Linked DNA regions of Saccharomyces cerevisiae S288C. The protein of the gene in region 3 interacts with the protein of the main gene of each other region in a biochemical or structural test. Each region holds a gene or a part of one and is shown on either strand. Other genes may lie near its edges.

Evidence for each region.
Region 1: of the proteins of FIN1 (region 3) and IPL1, one has a biochemical effect on the other in vitro, tested with the Saccharomyces cerevisiae proteins (one study listed by BioGRID).
Region 2: of the proteins of FIN1 (region 3) and CDC28, one has a biochemical effect on the other in vitro, tested with the Saccharomyces cerevisiae proteins (6 studies listed by BioGRID).
Region 4: the proteins of FIN1 (region 3) and DSN1 are reported together in a solved structure, tested with the Saccharomyces cerevisiae proteins (one study listed by BioGRID).

Annotation. Positions count from the first base shown.
Region 1 is NC_001148.4:155,990-159,787, reverse strand, and holds IPL1 (aurora kinase), read left to right. Parts: upstream 1-2,194; coding exon 2,195-3,298; downstream 3,299-3,798. Other genes in the region: RKM1 (protein-lysine N-methyltransferase), read right to left, coding at 195-1,946; signal recognition particle subunit SRP72, read left to right, coding at 3,576-3,798. UniProt on the Saccharomyces cerevisiae protein: Component of the chromosomal passenger complex (CPC), a complex that acts as a key regulator of chromosome segregation and cytokinesis.
Region 2 is NC_001134.8:558,487-563,256, reverse strand, and holds CDC28 (cyclin-dependent serine/threonine-protein kinase CDC28), read right to left. Parts: upstream 3,180-4,770; coding exon 2,283-3,179; downstream 1-2,282. Other genes in the region: TOS1 (Tos1p), read left to right, coding at 1-54; mannosylinositol phosphorylceramide synthase catalytic subunit CSH1, read right to left, coding at 493-1,623; IFA38 (ketoreductase), read right to left, coding at 3,529-4,572. UniProt on the Saccharomyces cerevisiae protein: Cyclin-dependent kinase that acts as a master regulator of the mitotic and meiotic cell cycles. Required to drive the G1-S transition. More than 200 substrates have been identified. Substrate specificity is in part regulated by the bound cyclin protein.
Region 3 is NC_001136.10:714,422-719,089, reverse strand, and holds FIN1 (Fin1p), read left to right. Parts: upstream 1-2,467; coding exon 2,468-3,343; downstream 3,344-4,668. Other genes in the region: MRX16 (Mrx16p), read left to right, coding at 1-274; YDR131C (uncharacterized protein), read left to right, coding at 630-2,300; SAC6 (fimbrin), read left to right, coding at 3,711-3,731, 3,843-4,668. UniProt on the Saccharomyces cerevisiae protein: Forms cell-cycle specific filaments between the spindle pole bodies of dividing yeast cells.
Region 4 is NC_001141.2:373,099-378,742, reverse strand, and holds DSN1 (MIND complex subunit DSN1), read right to left. Parts: upstream 3,313-5,644; coding exon 1,582-3,312; downstream 1-1,581. Other genes in the region: SQT1 (Sqt1p), read right to left, coding at 1-257; STS1 (Sts1p), read left to right, coding at 497-1,456; U2 snRNP complex subunit MSL1, read right to left, coding at 3,883-4,218; DNA primase subunit PRI1, read left to right, coding at 4,437-5,644. UniProt on the Saccharomyces cerevisiae protein: Acts as an essential component of the kinetochore MIND complex, which is required for the spindle checkpoint and kinetochore integrity.

The DNA.
Region 1 (3,798 bases), on a different chromosome or scaffold from region 3:
CTATATAAGCTCATTTCCATGTTTTATACACAAATATCGGGCATCGCAGCTCCATGGCGAAAAATTTCATCGAAGCCATATTCGGATACCCGGGACACTTCTGACCAATGAGAACCCAGTTTGTTAGTAAGTGCATTTATTAAATAAGTGCAGATGTAATTACGTACTCTACTCTAACATTCTATAAGGAAAAGCTACTTACGTACTAAAATAGTCTCTTCGGTTGTAGATGAAGTTCTGGTAAAGGAATTGTCTACTACAAACTGAATCGCATGATCTACTTCGGCCAAATCCACATCGTCTTGCTTCTCGAAGTATGCAGTATGGAAAGCCTTGGCATCATCTGAAATATATGCAGTTTGCTTGAAATTAGTATACTGCTGTCCAACCCATTCATATTTGGTGGGGTAAGAATTCTTTTTCGTTTTCAGTAGAATCCAAAGTATCAATAAATCATAAGTAGATTCAAAGATGACCTCTTCACCATCTTCGTTGCTGAACAGCGAAGGTAATTCAGTTTCTGCAAAAGCAGGGTCATTCTTAAGAATTTTGCTCATGGTTAGCAATTGGTGCTTGTTCTCTGACAGCATTGTTTTTTCTAGTTTTTTCAACCTCGTTAAAGCCTCTTTTAAAATTTGTTTTTGACCTTTAGTATAAACGTCAGCACAATAGACTCTGTAAGGATCAATTGCATAAGAGTCATCAGTTGCAGGTGGTCCAGTAATGCTGTTGAGTTTGCTCTGCAATGCATTTCGTAGCATTTGTATACCCTGCAAACGGGCTCTCAAATCGTGTAGATCCTCCTCTTCGGCCTTAGAAAGGTAGGTAAAAAGATCCAGTAATGGTTCTAAACATTGTTCATTTTGTATGTTAATGAAGTAAGTCACCCCATTGATGTAGTCTGTAGCACTACGAGTAGCCTTCTTTTCTTGCTGGACACAGTCTTTGTTTTCAAAAGCATAAGTGGTGTAATCCGAAAGTAAGGGCAGCTTCAAACTAGGTTCTGTTTCAAGAATTGTAGATACCACATCTAATGGCAATTTAACTTTCAAAGCCACTGAGTCAAATATGTTGTCTTCTAAAACAAATCCATATCCAGAGAGTAACTCCTCATTTCCCTTACCGCCATAATTATTTGATAGTTCTCGTGATTGGGAGGCGGTACCGATTTTTTCATAACAGAACCACCCATTTTCAGGATACCATTTGACTTTGGAACGGTAGTCATGATTTAGAAGATCGACGATGGGAAGCAGTACAATAGAGTTGTCAGGACAGTTTCTGTTTAGCACATATTCAGGGAATGCTCTTGAAATGAATATAAGGTGCGACCATAAAAATGCAGGAAAAGAATACCAGATAGTTGGTCTTTGAAGTTCTGTTATCTTCAAAATCTTCTCATACAAAGCCTCATATGTCAACTCATCGAGATTATGGAAGGTCTGCACATCATCTGCCACTCTTTCCAAGTCAAACATATCTGAAGAACTGACCAGTTCAAACCACTCTTTAAATATACCTTCGAACTTTTCATGAATCGAATTCCCTATGTTTGTAGATGATAAACGCTTCAACTCGCTTGGGTTCCAGACCAAGGGCGAATTTAGGCGGGAAGGCAATGCATCCAAGTAAGGTTTAAATTTATCATTCACACGAACATTGTCCACGATAGTATCATTATCCCTATCAAATTTTATTTTTGCGAAGAACAACTTCAGCCATCCGTTGATATTCTTAGTGGATTCACTTAGCCCAAAAAACTTCATGGGCAGATTCCTTGAAATGACAATCTCGGGAGGAATCTTGATGCTGGGATTGTCTATATCTTTTTCACATACGCAAATAATGCCCTTAAGATCGGTATATAAAAACTTGAGTTCCTCTGGCACTATTACACCAAATGACGCACCCCACTGAAGTAGTGCTTTTAACGCATCTGATGACATGATAGTCTTCTCTTGTATCTATAACCTTTGTGCTCCATTTTCCGATACAGCATTGCTTATTGAACAGTAAGTTTAACTTCACGCGTTTTTCCTGTAAAGCGCTTAATTTGTTTACCATTCTATAAAAACCTTGAGCTAAGGCCAACTGATGCAATTGCTCAAGTGAATGCATAAACAAAGCAAGATCATTCTTAGCGCAAAAAAAACTGGGATTTTGAAATACAACAAAAGAAAGAAGTAAAAAGGGAATGCAACGCAATAGTTTAGTAAATATCAAACTAAACGCTAATTCGCCATCGAAAAAGACCACAACAAGACCAAATACGTCCAGGATCAATAAACCATGGAGAATATCCCATTCGCCGCAGCAAAGAAACCCGAATTCAAAAATACCTTCACCTGTAAGAGAAAAATTGAACAGATTACCTGTAAACAATAAGAAGTTTTTGGATATGGAAAGCTCCAAAATTCCATCACCTATAAGGAAAGCGACTTCTTCCAAAATGATACACGAAAATAAGAAGCTACCTAAATTTAAATCCCTATCACTCGATGACTTTGAACTGGGGAAGAAATTAGGAAAGGGTAAATTCGGTAAAGTTTATTGCGTTCGGCACAGGAGTACAGGATATATTTGCGCACTGAAAGTAATGGAGAAGGAAGAAATAATAAAGTATAATTTACAGAAACAATTCAGAAGGGAGGTAGAAATACAAACATCGCTAAATCATCCGAATCTAACTAAATCATACGGCTATTTTCATGATGAAAAAAGAGTGTACCTGCTAATGGAATACTTAGTCAATGGGGAAATGTATAAACTATTGAGGTTACACGGACCCTTCAACGATATTTTAGCATCAGATTATATTTATCAAATTGCCAATGCCCTAGATTATATGCATAAAAAGAATATTATTCATAGAGATATTAAACCTGAAAATATACTAATAGGGTTCAATAATGTCATTAAGTTAACGGACTTCGGATGGAGTATAATAAATCCGCCAGAAAATAGAAGGAAAACTGTCTGTGGGACAATTGACTACCTTTCTCCAGAAATGGTGGAGTCAAGGGAATATGATCACACTATAGATGCATGGGCTCTTGGCGTCCTGGCGTTTGAACTACTGACCGGTGCCCCTCCGTTCGAAGAAGAAATGAAAGATACTACATATAAAAGGATAGCAGCACTGGATATCAAAATGCCCAGTAACATTTCTCAGGATGCGCAAGATTTAATACTTAAACTACTAAAATACGACCCCAAAGATAGAATGCGCCTTGGAGACGTAAAAATGCATCCTTGGATACTAAGAAACAAGCCCTTTTGGGAAAATAAGCGGTTATAGAATTAAAGTATGACAGAATCGTTTGAAGGGCACTATTAATCACTCCCGCACATATCACATAATACTAAGTATCCATTTCTAATATTTCATTACTCTTTTCGGCATCGTATATTGCGATATTTGATTAAATTTTCTTGTTCATTTTTTCCTCTTTTCTTTCGCCTTTGTCGAAAGAAAAGAGGAAAACAAGCTGAAAATTGCTATGCATTAAAGTAGCAGATTTACTTTGTTGAGTTGGTTCTGATCAATAATAAGAGTAATGAAAGAAAGCAAAAAAATGGCTAAAGATAATTTAACTAATTTGCTCTCTCAATTGAACATTCAATTGTCTCAAGACGAGCATTCGCAGGTCGAACAGACTTGCGTGAAACTATTGGATTCTGGATGTGAGAATCCAGCGGATGTATTTAGACGTTGCTTAGTAGCTGTTATCCAACAGGACAAGTATCAAAAGGCTTTACATTATTTAAAAAAATTCAAACATATAGATGACAAGTACG
Region 2 (4,770 bases), on a different chromosome or scaffold from region 3:
GATGTCGTTGACCAATGGTTGAGCAAGTCCGGTTCTTCTGCGGCCTTGCCATAGTCGATCGTTTCTTATTAACCAATAAAATTTTCCTTTTTTTCATTTATGTTTCACTTGCTATTTTTTTCCTTCCCCGTTATTATTTTTGTTTTAGGGTTTCTGTCCACTTTGAACAGATTGTGTTATTTTCCAAGAACAATACATTATTGTAAAAAAAAAAAAAAAAAAAAACTAAACTAAAAAAAAAAAATTCACTCTTAAAGTTTAGAGTTATGTTCTCTATCTATCTTTATCTTTATTATATACTATTAAAAACCAAGCTTCTGGACATTGTACTATTTTATAATCGAATTTTTTTCTCTTTAATTTTTATAGGAATGCATGTTACTTGTAATTCTTAAATACTAAGATTTAATACCTGTTATATATCTATACGCCATTGTTTTTGAGATTTATCCATGCTCACAATATTATAGGGGTAGAACAGTGGCAATTCAATCAGGTTAAGTCGGTAAATTTTGCGTGATTCTTTTCTATATCAAGGAAAACGCTGTCGTAGGGGATATTAGAATCTTTTCTTAATCTCTTACCCCTCGAATTATATTCGTGACGAGTAGGATTCCGCCTCTTTTCCTTATTCTTGTAAGACGATGTTAGTTTCCACTTGTGTAACTTGAACTTGTCACTCAACCACTGAATGTAATAGCGTTTGTTGTTAAATGGTCCCGAGCACAGCCAAGTATAAAATGTAAATTCACCGTATAATATGAAAAAGCCAAAAATGAATCCGGTAACCACGCAAGACAAGATGTGATTCTCTAGAGTTTTCATAAAATTGGCATCACCCGTATGCCAGGAGGAACCTTTAGATATTGAGAAAAAAGAATTATTATGCATTTTATAATCTGCAGGTTGTAAAATTCTTACCGCACCATTTTCGGCCGTATTAGACCATCTCTTATATTGCTTCCAAACCACACTAATGAATAAGGGGCCCGTAGAGCCCATGATTGTCATATATGGAATGTACCAGTTTTTCTTATAGTGTTTCAACGATTTGATGACCTTCAAGAAGAAGGGGTGCCTTGGAACAGAGCCCATCACATCATTTGACACTCCTGTAGGCGAAGTTTTCCTTAGAAATGCTGGTACTTTCAACAAAGGGTCTAGCCTTCTTTCACAACCATCATCCAAGTCAATGTAAATACCACCATAATGCGAAAGGATGAAATACCGTATTGCATCCGCCCTCTCAATTGGATATTCATAACTCCTAAAGGTGTCAAGAAACCACGGGTATTCCTGTTTAATGAAAGTATCAGACATTTCATCCGTCCATAAAATGTAAGTGTAATCCGGATGTAAATCAATGCACTTCTGCCTCCCTTTTACCCACTGTTCTGGGATATCGTTTGTTTTGTAGGTTTGATGAATGATTTTCGGTATGAGTTGAGGAGGAGACTCATAGAATGTTGAATTGAAGCCATTGGGGGGGTTCAGCTGTTCATCTGTTAGCGCATCTTTGGAAGTATCATCTATACATAACGTCAACAAATCAAATGTGTAATGTATTATAGAGATAAGTAATGCAATGTTCGCTATTATAAGAATTTTCAACTCCTTCTTCATCACGTATTAATTGGTTTACTGTAACTACTTTAGCACTGTTGTAAGGTGCACCGCTTCGCACTGCCTTGTTCGGTTGTTGAAATTATATTATATACGGTCAGCGCTCCTTGAGGAAGCTAATAAAAATCGTGTTGCGATGTAAATAATGAAGGAAATAAAAACAATACCCGTCTCGGTTATTCAACGGTGACAATGAAACTCTTCAAAATTCAAAGAGCAATGAATTTGCGGAGGTCAAAAACAAGAACAGAGAAAAAAACCAAGGGCGAGTCAGATGCGAAACGGCTTTAAACAAGCGAACTCCTTATAGTCAAAGAAGTTCAATTGAGGCCCCAGCATACAATGCGTTATTTCGTTTTGTTTTTCGTTTGTCTTTTTCCTCTTCGCTTTTTTTTTTTTTTTTTTTTTTTTCATTTTCTTTGATAATACGACCTCGGTAAATACGTCATGGAACACGCCCAGCTTTTAACCCCTGAAAAGCTCTCACTTTTACTTTCGCGTATAACTGAATGTTCCGTATATGACGATGAATATATTTTCTGATGGAGTTACCCATCATAATGTTGAAACTGAGTATATTGTATTCACTATATACTTTACTAGGCTATAATGACAGTGCAGTAGCATTTGTAATATAATAGCGAAATAGATTATAATGCTTATGATTCTTGGAAGTAGGGGTGGATGGCTGCTCTTCTGGCGCTAATCCGGTTAATAGGGTCATACGCGAGGAGTTTGTCCAACAAATCAATACCGCGTGGATCTAGACTTGGTACCACTTGTGATAGGTCTTTTCTGCGCCATTGAGGAAAGCTTGGCTTGAAATCAGGCAAGTAGACAATATCTGGCCATATAGCTTCATTCGGCGTTCCCAATACTCTGAATATCTTGAAAATCTGATCGATCTCACTATCGCCACTGAAGATTGGTTTCCTGTTACACATTTCGGCAAATATACAGCCGATGGACCATGTATCGACACCTGTACTATATTGTTTTCCACCCAGTAATACCTCCGGAGCTCTATACCATAGAGTAACAATTTCATGTGTGTAAGCTCTCAACGGAACACCAAAAGCACGCGCTAAGCCAAAATCACCTAGTTTTAGATTCCCATCTTTGTTAATCAATAAGTTCTGCGGTTTTAAATCACGATGCAGAATACGGTGTGAGTGGCAGTATGCAATACCCTTACAAAGTTGCATCATAAACTTCTTAACAATATCAGCTCCTAACGGTTGGTCCTTTGGAATACCCTCCATATATCTTTTCAGGTCCAAATCGAGGAACTCAAAAACAAGATATAGCTTGTGTGCATCAGAGTGAACAATATCGTATAATCTGACAATATTATCGTCTTTTAATTCCTTCAATAATGAGATTTCTCTGATGGCTGTACTGGGAACACCCTCGTCTTCACTCTCTAGTCTTATTTTCTTCAATGCGACTACTCTTTGACCTTGGCCAGGTCTTAAGTCTAACGCTTTATAAACAACACCGTATGTACCTTCACCGACTTTCTCAAGTCTTTTGTAATTTGCTAATTCACCGCTCATGTTCGAAGGATAGTTCTATTTGATCTGGGCTATTTTCCACTGTAGCTGATGTGCTGGCTTGAATATTTTTTCCAATATGATATTCTGGAAAAGCAGTATTAAATTTTCTTTCAAGAGGACTTGGTCCTTCCACCAATTTTTTTTTTTGAGTTCTTGTTGTTTTCCAAATTTTTCTCTTTTTTTCTCATTTAGGTTCGTTTTTATTTTTGGCGTTTGTTGCCCTAATAAGGCCATATATGTATATATTGGTACATAAGCAAGTATAATACATAAGCCATGCTTTTCTTGTAAATATATATATATATATATATATATGTATTGTATAAAAACTATCTCGAGAACGATAATTCTATTCCTTTTTAACCTGTCTTGCGGCTTTTTTTAAGGCTCTAATTCTGATAGATTTATGGAAGGAATAATTAATGGAGTTAACAATCTTAGAGTAAACGCCAAAGGTCTCTGTAATTACAAATTGATACACTGCGTGCGCCCAGTAAGGGGTCATAGTAGCGTATCTTTCTTGAGAGCCGCAGCGTCTGCCAACGCTTCTTAAAGTGGATTTTACAAACTGTTGTGGATTTGGGATCATTAAAGATGATCTTCTGATTTTAGACATCGAGCTAGTGACCAAATATGAAATGATTAATTCAACATCGATAGCATCTTTAGATAATTCCCCAGCCAAAGAGTTAGACCAACCTTGTAAGAATGATTTCGAACCACTGTATGTAGCCAAAAGTGGGGTGGGAATCAGACCACCAAATGAGCCCATGGTTAAGATCAAACCACGAGTACCCGACTTCTTGTTTTCAGCTTTCACAGTTTCCACAATCTTTGGTGCAATGATTTGTGTAATTAATAATGTAGCAGTGTTATTGATAGTGATAATATTTCTAAGCTCCTTCTCTTCTGTTTCCAAAAATGGAACAGGAATGGAGTGTGATTGACCAACATTATTGACCAAAACGGTGATTGGTAACTGCGCACACAATTCCTTAATGGATTCATAGTTGGATTCTTTATCCTCCGCAATGTCAATGGCTAGAATCTTTACAACGACATGATGTTGATCTTCTAGTTCTTTTTGTAAAGCCTCCAATTTAGATTGCGTTCTCGAGATCAATACCAAGTTGAAGCCACGTTTCGCCATTTGTCTAGCAAATTCTTTACCAATACCGTCACTTGCACCAGTGATAGCACAGTATTTACCAGTTTTAGCACCATACTTGTCGAAATTGACTGCTGGTAGTAAAAAAAGATCAAAAATAAGAGCTAAAAATCTAAGTGATAACGTTGTACATTTTAAGACACCAAGCCCAAAAACAACCCATAAAAGACCATTGATACACCTAAATCTTTCCCCAGCCTCTTGAAGCTGTTGCATAAAAGTCATTTCTTAAGCTGCACCGACACGAATTGATTGCTTTGAAGACTGTTCTTCTATCTGTGTTTCCTTCAGTCTCTTTTGAAGTTGCATTTCTGCAACGCTTTTATTCGTGAAATCTCTAAAAAAGCGAAAAATAAAAAGGCCTCCCGCGGACTTAAAACAGAACATCCGAAACATTACAAAAGGCCCCTACAATTATCTCTA
Region 3 (4,668 bases):
ACTTCCAGCATGCATATATCTCTGTGATTTGGACATAAACGGCATTAAGATTTCTCAAGTTCAAACTTTGCTAACTGATAAAAATAAATTCAATGACAGGGTCATTGACGTGTCTGATCCACTTGACCTTAGATTTTGTTCTGGTTTAAAGCTTTACTTAAGAAAGTCTCTCTGGAAACTGGCCGTGAAAGATGGCAATATTATGCTGATAGCTATTAAAGCTATAGCATTTAACGGAACTAAGGAATACTACAAGGGATATGAATATCTGTAGGATTAGCTTGATAAAATTACTCTTCTGCCAAGCTTTTAAGTATATGTATGCTCTCCGTTGTATTTTTTATATGCCATTATAGTACTTGAAGTATAACGGAAACCCATTGTAACTCACATTCCTGTAGTAGCTTCTTTTCTTACTTTTTGTAGGCTCTTGTCTCTTTTCTCTTGTTATTTATCAGTTAATATGTAAGAAAAAAATCGACTTCGGGAATTAGGATACAGACACCTCTTAAAACCAGAGATAAAGTAACGTAGAGAAAATAGTAGGATAATGTGTGCAAAAAGAAGAAACTTTGGTGTCTTAAAATAGATAAAAATAACCCTACTGCCAATTTGAAAGGGCCCGAAAAATGTTTGATAAGTTACCTTATGAGATTTTTAAACAAATTGCCTGGAGAATTCCGCAGGAAGATAAAATTTCGTTAACATATGTATGCAAAAGATCCTATGAATCAATTATACCTTTCATCTACCAGAATTTATTTCTTAATGAAACCTATCACATCAATGGTGACTATGATAACTCATTTGGAACCTGTTATTGGTCTGTCCTAAACTTTCACTACATAGATGAAGATGATTCCAATACTAAAAACGACATGTCGAATAGAAGACTAGCTAAAGTGAAATTTAGTTATTTCGAAAGAACATTAGCAGAGTCACCGAAAAGATTATGTCCCTTAATTAATCGAATACGTTGTACATGGCATTTAAATGAAGATGTGATGACAAATGTACTTAAATTGCTATCCGAGTATGGATCCAATTTGAAATTTGTCGATCAATTTGTTCGCTCATCAGTTAACAAGGGGCTAGAACCTTTATCAAAGCAATTAAAAACTCTAACATTAACGCCACCAACGTTAATGCCCACCCATAACAGTGTAAGCGGTTCTTATTTGAATAAAATTGATCGGTTGCTCTTGAAGTGCGATCTATCTCGATTAGAAAAACTTTCCATTCATATAAACGCATTGAAGTACTTCAAAAATACCGGGTCTCCTATGAAGATCAAAGCATTGGTATTAAATTTGCGACCCGACACACTTAACCTTGCGGAGTACGACGCTTCCGATGACTTCTTAAAAGAGCTAGAATACATCGACATATTTGATGCTTCCACCTTAAGGCAGCTAGAGATTTTGTCTTGGTACAGTCGCGACGATTTTCCCTCTGGCGAAGAAGGTGGTTTTGACAGGTTATATGTCAAATGGGGGCTAGAAGGATTTTGGAAATTTCCGAACATTGAGAAACTATCATTAGCGTCATTGGTTTACAGCGAATTTTTTCTAATGAATTGTTTGGCTGTGTTTCACAATTTAAAGATACTGAAACTTGATTACATGGGTAAATTTGACTTCGATGTGTCGTTGATTAACTTCTTATCTAAACAAGTGTGTGGCAAAAAATTACAGCGTTTTGACATACACTGCCAACTAAATCACAGGCTTTTTTTTCCCATGACAGATAACCCACTAACTCGCTTGAATTTCGATGGTTTCTGCCCTTGTTCAACTTGCAAAAATACAATTCACGAGGTCATTCTAAAAAAAATCTTTCCTGAAACCCGGTCAAAACTTTTAAAGAACCCAAATAAGTTCCAAGCCCATAATTTCTTTTACCAAATGTTTTTCGAGAACAAGATCATGCCCTATACAAACATTATTGACAACGAATCACCTGCGATGGGATGGGATTCTGTACCTATTGAAACGTTTGTACGAAAGTTCAATGAAAATCTGCAAAGCACCATAGAAAATACTGAGAATATTACAGTGAATAAAATTACTAGAGAAGATGCCATTAGTTTGTACCACTTATACCTTCATTATCTAAAAGACGTATTTAAAGTTTTTGAGCAAAGTTTGCCGAACTTAGAATATCTAACCATCAACGGTATACCTACAAAAATAATACAAGTGGACGAGTTACAACGATGCGCGGTTCCCCTCTTCTATAATAATGGCTATAAAAGCAACTCTGTTTATGAATTGGTGGACGCAGAAGCTCTATTTAGTTGATACTGTGAGACATGGCGGTTATAACACGTACATAATGATATATACTCTAAATACTGCAAATTGTCAACAAGAGGAAATCAAAACAAATGGATTGTATAGTCTAGTTAGAGCTTTCTCAGTGTTCTCACTGGATTGCAGTGATGTGACATAGTTCAATAAAACAAATTATGAGCAATAAAAGCAACCGCAGGAGTTTACGTGACATAGGGAATACGATTGGTCGAAATAATATACCAAGTGACAAGGACAATGTCTTTGTGAGATTGAGTATGTCCCCTTTGAGGACGACAAGCCAAAAAGAGTTTTTGAAACCACCTATGAGGATATCACCTAACAAGACAGATGGAATGAAGCATAGTATACAAGTAACACCAAGAAGGATTATGTCGCCGGAATGTCTGAAGGGCTATGTCTCTAAGGAAACTCAAAGCCTGGATAGGCCTCAGTTCAAAAATTCGAATAAAAATGTGAAGATCCAAAACTCAGATCATATAACTAATATAATATTCCCTACATCACCAACCAAACTGACATTCAGTAATGAAAATAAAATCGGGGGTGATGGTTCGTTAACGAGAATACGGGCCCGGTTTAAGAATGGACTCATGTCACCTGAAAGGATACAGCAGCAACAGCAGCAACATATTCTCCCATCGGATGCCAAAAGCAACACTGACCTCTGTTCTAATACTGAGCTCAAGGACGCCCCATTTGAGAATGACCTTCCTCGAGCTAAATTGAAAGGGAAGAATTTATTAGTTGAACTCAAGAAAGAAGAGGAAGACGTGGGAAATGGCATAGAATCCCTTACTAAATCGAACACTAAACTGAATTCCATGCTGGCGAACGAAGGTAAGATACACAAAGCTAGTTTCCAGAAAAGTGTAAAATTTAAACTACCTGATAATATAGTGACTGAAGAAACCGTGGAACTTAAAGAAATAAAGGACTTGCTACTACAAATGTTGAGAAGACAGCGAGAGATTGAATCAAGATTATCCAATATCGAACTTCAACTCACGGAAATACCGAAACATAAGTAATCATATCCCTTCTCACATTTTTTACACAGGAAGTAAGCAAGTTATGTTATATTTCCGACACTATAATTAATTCTTAGCAGTTAAAGGTGCTTTGTCTATATTACATTTACATACAGCTTGAGTGATCCTGACCGGATATAGGGTCCTATTTTCTTACGTGAACGGCTTTTCTTCTTGTTCCCGATGGCCTTCATGTGAAAAAGCACTCCTCGGGAGGCGGAAAAATATCAAAAGTACGGGGCGAAGTTTATAATGAAGATTTATCGATATAAATTTTGGTTATTTCAGGAGAACAAGAAAGCTCTTTACACTAAAATTATCAGAGAAGAAGCTGATATATTAGCCCTAAGGAGTACACCAAAACACAATGAATATTGTCAAATTACAAGTATGTATGCCTTTCTCGAATTCCCACACTGCTGAGCACAGTGAAAAAGTTTTTTCTACCTTTTAGGTTGTAATAAACGTTTCATATACTAACAAACTCTTCTGCGATTAGAGAAAATTTCCAATTTTGACTCAAGAGGATCTTTTTTCCACAATTGAAAAGTTCAGAGCCATTGACTTAGATGATAAAGGATGGGTTGAAAAACAGCAAGCTCTAGAAGCGGTGTCCAAAGATGGTGATGCTACTTATGACGAAGCAAGAGAAACCCTGAAGCATGTGGGTGTGGATGCGTCAGGCCGTGTTGAACTGGACGATTACGTCGGGTTGGTTGCAAAATTAAGAGAATCTAAAACAGGAGCTGCTCCACAGACCACTTTCAACGTAGCACCTAACTCAACCCCTATTGTTTCCACTGCTGCCACAGGACTACAGCACAAGGGTAAGGGTACTCAAGCCAAGATTATTGTTGCTGGCTCCCAAACAGGTACTACACATACCATCAATGAAGAAGAAAGACGTGAATTTACTAAACATATCAATAGCGTCTTGGCGGGAGACCAAGATATAGGTGATTTGCTTCCATTTCCTACTGATACTTTCCAATTATTTGATGAATGTAGGGATGGGTTGGTGCTATCTAAGTTGATCAACGACTCTGTTCCTGATACTATCGATACAAGAGTTTTGAATTGGCCTAAGAAGGGTAAGGAATTGAATAATTTTCAGGCTAGTGAAAATGCTAATATTGTTATTAATTCTGCAAAAGCCATTGGTTGTGTCGTTGTTAATGTTCATTCCGAGGACATTATTGAAGGTAGAGAGCATTTGATCCTGGGTTTGATTTGGCAAATTATTAGGAGAGGTTTGTTAAGTAAAATTGATATTAAGCTGCATCCTGAGTTATACCGTCTATTGGAGGATGATGAAACGTTGGAGC
Region 4 (5,644 bases), on a different chromosome or scaffold from region 3:
TCACCCCCACCGGTACATACTAGCGGCAGGTTAGGATGATGGCCAATGGCAAACACGGAGTCTGTGTGCTTATCGAAATAGGTAAGCGAGTTGTTGGACATGTCGACCTCCAAAGCTTCCTCATCATCATTCATCATTTCATCATCGTCGTCATTCTCTCCTTCAATATCAACGGGAACGTCTTGTTCGACCTCCACAGTGGGCACAATCTCCTGCTCAACTTCTTCGGTAGTTATAAACTCTTCTTGAGGTTCCATTACGCTTAATGTGTCGCTATTTGGTGCTGTTTTGGTCTTCAAAAGGCCTCATCTAAAGCCCATCGAATGTATCTCTTTAGTTATTCATAGTGAAAATTTTGCCAGAAAAAGAAACGGCGGGCGGGTGATAATGCGGCGAGTGGGAATTTCTTACTTAAAAATATACTTAACCAAGTATTCTCACTTAGTGTGTTCGAAGGTACCTGGCAAAAGCAACAAACACAGGACAGTATAGCATTATGATGGGGTTTGAATGGGGTTTTAAACCCAGCAGTAAAATAACACAGAGTACAGTCAGTTCACAAGGCACAGGCAATGTAATGATTCCAACTGCTGGAGTGAAACAAAAAAGGCGGTATGCCAACGAGGAGCAAGAAGAGGAAGAACTACCTCGTAACAAGAATGTGATGAAATATGGGGGCGTCTCCAAGAGGAGGCCTCAGCCAGGATCGCTCATCAGAGGGCAGCCTCTGCCCTTGCAACGAGGCATGGAACTAATGAACAAGAACCAATTACAGCAGTTGTTGGTGGATTTGATGACAAAACATCCAGAAATACAACAAAGCGTACATACGAGAGTCATCGGATTAGACTTCAGTATACAAAAGTGTCTGGACATGTTGAAACAAAAATCAGAAGCCGTTTACCAGAGCATACCTTACAATAGGTCTTATGAGAGTAATAAATTAGATGACTATGCTTTCGTGAGAATGAAACCTCAAATTCTGGAGTTCTTAAACTGTTTGGTGGATTTCATACTGGATAACATTCCACCACGTTTGGAAAATTTGCACGCATCATTAAAATTCTTAGACATTTGCACGGAATTAGTTATCAAATTGCCCAGATTTGAATTAGCTAGTAATAATTACTACTACGATAAATGCATTGAACAATTGTCTCACGTATGGTGTACGCTTATTGAACATGTTGCCCGTGACAGGATAATTTTATTAGCAGATAATAGCTCCGTCTGGAAAAGTCATATGACAAGATTACAGGTATACAATGAACATTCAAATGGGTTATTGGAACGCCCACTCCAGCTGTTCAAATCTTTAGATATGGGTAGCCCTTCAGCAGCATCGTCATCAACATTATCACTTCAAGAAAGTATTATTTACCACCACGATACCATGACAGCAAACGAAAACAATAACAATAGTGGTAGCGCTGCTACTGATTCGCCCTTTAACTAAGGATAGAATGGTTCTTTTGCTTTTTCAAATACATTAATATGTATATATATGTATATATAAATGTATGACTGTGTAATGTTACATATGCAGAAGTATCCGATTTTTTTTTGATTTTTTCTTTTATTTCATAAATCCAGTTTTTTACTGAAAGATAAACTTAATCCCTTCAACAGCTGTTGAGGATTAATCACTTGTGAGTGGTCATCGTCCGTTTCGCTTGAGATCTTTCTCATTGTTTCTATGTTCAATTTATTCACTTTTGAATTTGTTATTTCGTTTAAGGCTAGTGAGTGCGAGTTTAATATATGCGACTGGTACCTTAGCTCATCGACTTTTGTTTCTAACTTTGTCTCAACATCTGCAATCGCAAGGTCTGGCTCTTCTGTATCCGACAACGGTTCCAGTGGTTGTGATGAGAATGAAGTCAATTCTTGCCATTCAAGATCTGGTCTCGAAGTGTCTAAAGTGACTGCCCATTCTTTCACTTCATTTTTGATCGCGTTCACCTTGCTCGTTAAAATGCTAAGATTCTTTGTGTTTTCCACGTTTTTGCTATTAGGTAATAGTTTTTTTGGTTCTTTCGGTAGGGCTTTTCTCCTTTCACTAAATTTACGTCTAGACCTCTGTATTTCCGAGTAGTCCACCTCATCGTCGTCGTCGTCGTCGTCGTCGTTTTCCTGAAACAGTTGTCGCAGTTCCGTGTCATCGTAGTTTTCAGTATTATCCAGAATCTTCTCCTCATCTTCATCCTCATATTTTTCCTCATCTTCCCAATCTATCGCAATATGATCTTTTTTAAGATCATCGACAAACTCTTTTATTATCACCATAGCCAGACGTTTGGGATCCACATAATCAGTTTCTGCCTTTGTTGATTCGAGCTTGGATTTTTTGGTCAGATGTTCAAGTTCCCCTTCTTCCTCTTGGTTTTTAGCCTTCAACTCCAATTTATGCAGAGATCTCATTAAACACCAGTTGAAAAGCTGTCGTATTTGTAAATTTTTACCAAAAGACGCATTTCCAACCACGGTGTAAAAATCCTCTTCAGGAATATCCTTGTGCGGAGATATAATAGTGCTTCCCCCATTAGCTTGAGATGCTAACATAGACAATCTTCTACCTCTCTGACTTCCGATTGATTTTTTCCTTTCCCTTGTTCGTTGAATGTAGTGTGGTTGCTGAAGTTGTTGTTGATGGAATGATCCGTACGGAAACAATTGCGGAGCTGGCAGCAATTGTTGTGATGAAGATATATTTTGGGGAGTAGTCATATCGGGACCGCCTGCAGCAGTGGGTTGCGAATAAAAGGGCTGTAATGAGGAGTTGGGCATAATCGAATGCATTGGTGATCCAGGATATGGTATCATTGCAGGAGTTGGTGCATTCATCGGATGGTAGTAATAGTAATAAGGCATATATGGAGCGGGCATTGCACTTGCATTAACATTCGCAGTCGCATTTGCAGTCGCATTTGCAGTCGCATTTGCAGTCGCATCTCCACTATGATTGTCGTCAGCAATTGGCGCAGAAGAATTGAAATTCTCCACTCTCTTGGCCTTTTTTATATCTTGCAGGTTATCCAGCCTTTCGCCCAGAGTAGGGAACCCCTGGATATGTTTATTCTTGTGTCGTTTGAATTTCAAATCGGGGCTCAAATTCGACACGGATTGTTTATTCTCAAAATATTCGGTCTCCTCCTCATCTTTCTGGGTGGGCTCGTTGCTTTGTAGAGTAGCCTTGGAGTCGGATTCCAATATTGGGATAGTTTCCATCCGCAATGGGTATACTTGTTTGTGTGTTCTTTGATGCAGCATCGGCGGCGTACCGGAGACCGTTTGTGTGGGTTCCAGACTCATCCTCTACCTAAATAAAGAAAAATTTGTGTGTGGTACAATAGAAGAGGCCCGGTTTCACAACTCTGCCTGGTACTTTGTGCTTTTATCAATTGGCGGTTCTTTTGATGTTTATTTTGATTTGTTTATCATTTGTGAATTTTTGCTTTTACTAGAAATATATATCATTTTAAACGAAGCCACATATAAACGCTGAACTACACTGTAATTCATCATATAGTAAGCTGTCTTATATACTAAATTATCACTTCCAAAATGTAATAAACGTCTTTTGGCAATGGGGTACTCTGTGGTTTGCCCTTTGTATTATTTAAGCAATTGAAGTGAGGAATAAGCGGCCGTTCTGCAGTATGTCTTTTCGGGAGACTCTTTCTGCTACAGATTTTTGTAGATTCTATATCTACTCCATATTGATACATGCCTTGATATTATTTGTCCGTTGACGACCATCTATAACGCCGGGTTGTTTGGATATAAACATTTTGGTTTGGTTCTGCGCTCTTGACTTTGATGTGCCCCTATGGCAGCTCTTCTCGGTATATACGTGCTGCTATGAATAGAGCGTTAAGCCAGTCATAGTGTTTTAGTTTCACTCTTGCTGAACTCAACTTTCAAAGGCTTACCAAAGAATCGCTCGCCGTTTAATGAAATCTGGGCCAGACTGGCCTGGTCGATGGTTCTCATGGTGATAAAGGCTTGGCCCCGCTGTTTCTTGAAATTCATGCTAACCTTCAGTACCTCTCCAAACGTAGCAAAGAGCAAAAAAAGGTTTACTCGCAGTCGTTGCATATTAATTTTTTCATTAAGCTGGCTCACGTACAGCGTATTTTTAGCTTCCGTTACTGGTTCAGCCACAGTGTGATGAGTATCGCGATCAATCCTCTGCTTTTTCCTTGCTGGTTCAACCATTACTATATCCTACGTGTGAATGATGCGTGAGTTTCGAAACAGTTGCTCGGTCAGTGCCCTTTGCCACTTTTACCTATTGTTTTCTTTCAGTTGAAAAGTTTCATAACGCCAAAAAGATAAAAAATTAATCAAAAATACTTTGAAGCTGAAGAGAAAAGCGTGCCATAATACTAGCAAAAATTAGTTTTAGCAACTCAAAAAACTGTTTTATAAACATCATGACCAATTCAGTAAAGACTAATGGGCCAAGCTCCTCAGACATGGAGTACTACTATAAGTCGCTCTATCCATTCAAACACATTTTCAACTGGCTGAATCATTCGCCCAAACCTTCTAGGGATATGATTAACAGAGAATTCGCTATGGCGTTCAGGTCAGGTGCTTACAAAAGGTATAATTCTTTTAACTCTGTGCAAGATTTCAAAGCACAAATAGAAAAAGCCAACCCAGACAGATTTGAAATCGGTGCCATATATAACAAACCGCCAAGAGAACGTGATACTCTATTAAAAAGCGAATTGAAAGCTTTAGAGAAGGAGTTGGTGTTTGATATTGATATGGATGATTACGATGCCTTCAGAACGTGTTGCTCCGGAGCCCAAGTTTGCTCTAAGTGCTGGAAATTTATATCTTTGGCAATGAAAATTACGAACACGGCCCTAAGAGAGGATTTTGGTTATAAGGACTTCATCTGGGTATTTTCAGGTAGACGTGGTGCTCATTGTTGGGTAAGCGACAAACGGGCACGGGCTTTGACGGATGTACAACGAAGAAACGTTTTAGATTATGTCAACGTGATTAGAGACAGAAATACTGACAAGCGATTGGCTTTGAAGAGGCCTTATCACCCTCATCTTGCTCGTTCTTTGGAGCAATTGAAACCTTTCTTTGTCAGCATTATGCTCGAAGAGCAAAATCCTTGGGAAGATGACCAACATGCTATCCAAACTTTATTGCCTGCATTATATGATAAACAATTGATTGATTCATTAAAGAAGTATTGGCTGGACAATCCAAGGAGGTCAAGCAAAGAGAAGTGGAATGATATAGATCAGATAGCTACATCGCTCTTCAAAGGCCCCAAGCAAGACTCTCACATAATTAAGTTACGTGAATGTAAGGAAGATCTCGTATTGATGACTCTTTATCCGAAGCTGGATGTGGAAGTTACAAAGCAAACAATTCATTTGTTAAAGGCCCCTTTTTGTATTCATCCTGCTACGGGGAATGTCTGTGTGCCTATTGATGAATCCTTTGCACCTGAAAAAGCACCTAAGCTAATTGATCTTCAAACAGAAATGGAGAAAAATAATGATGTTTCATTAACAGCTTTACAACCTTTTATCAATCAGTTCCAAGCATATGTGAGTTCTCTTTTGAAAAATGAACTGGGTTCAGTGAAAAGAGAACGTGAAGATGATGATGA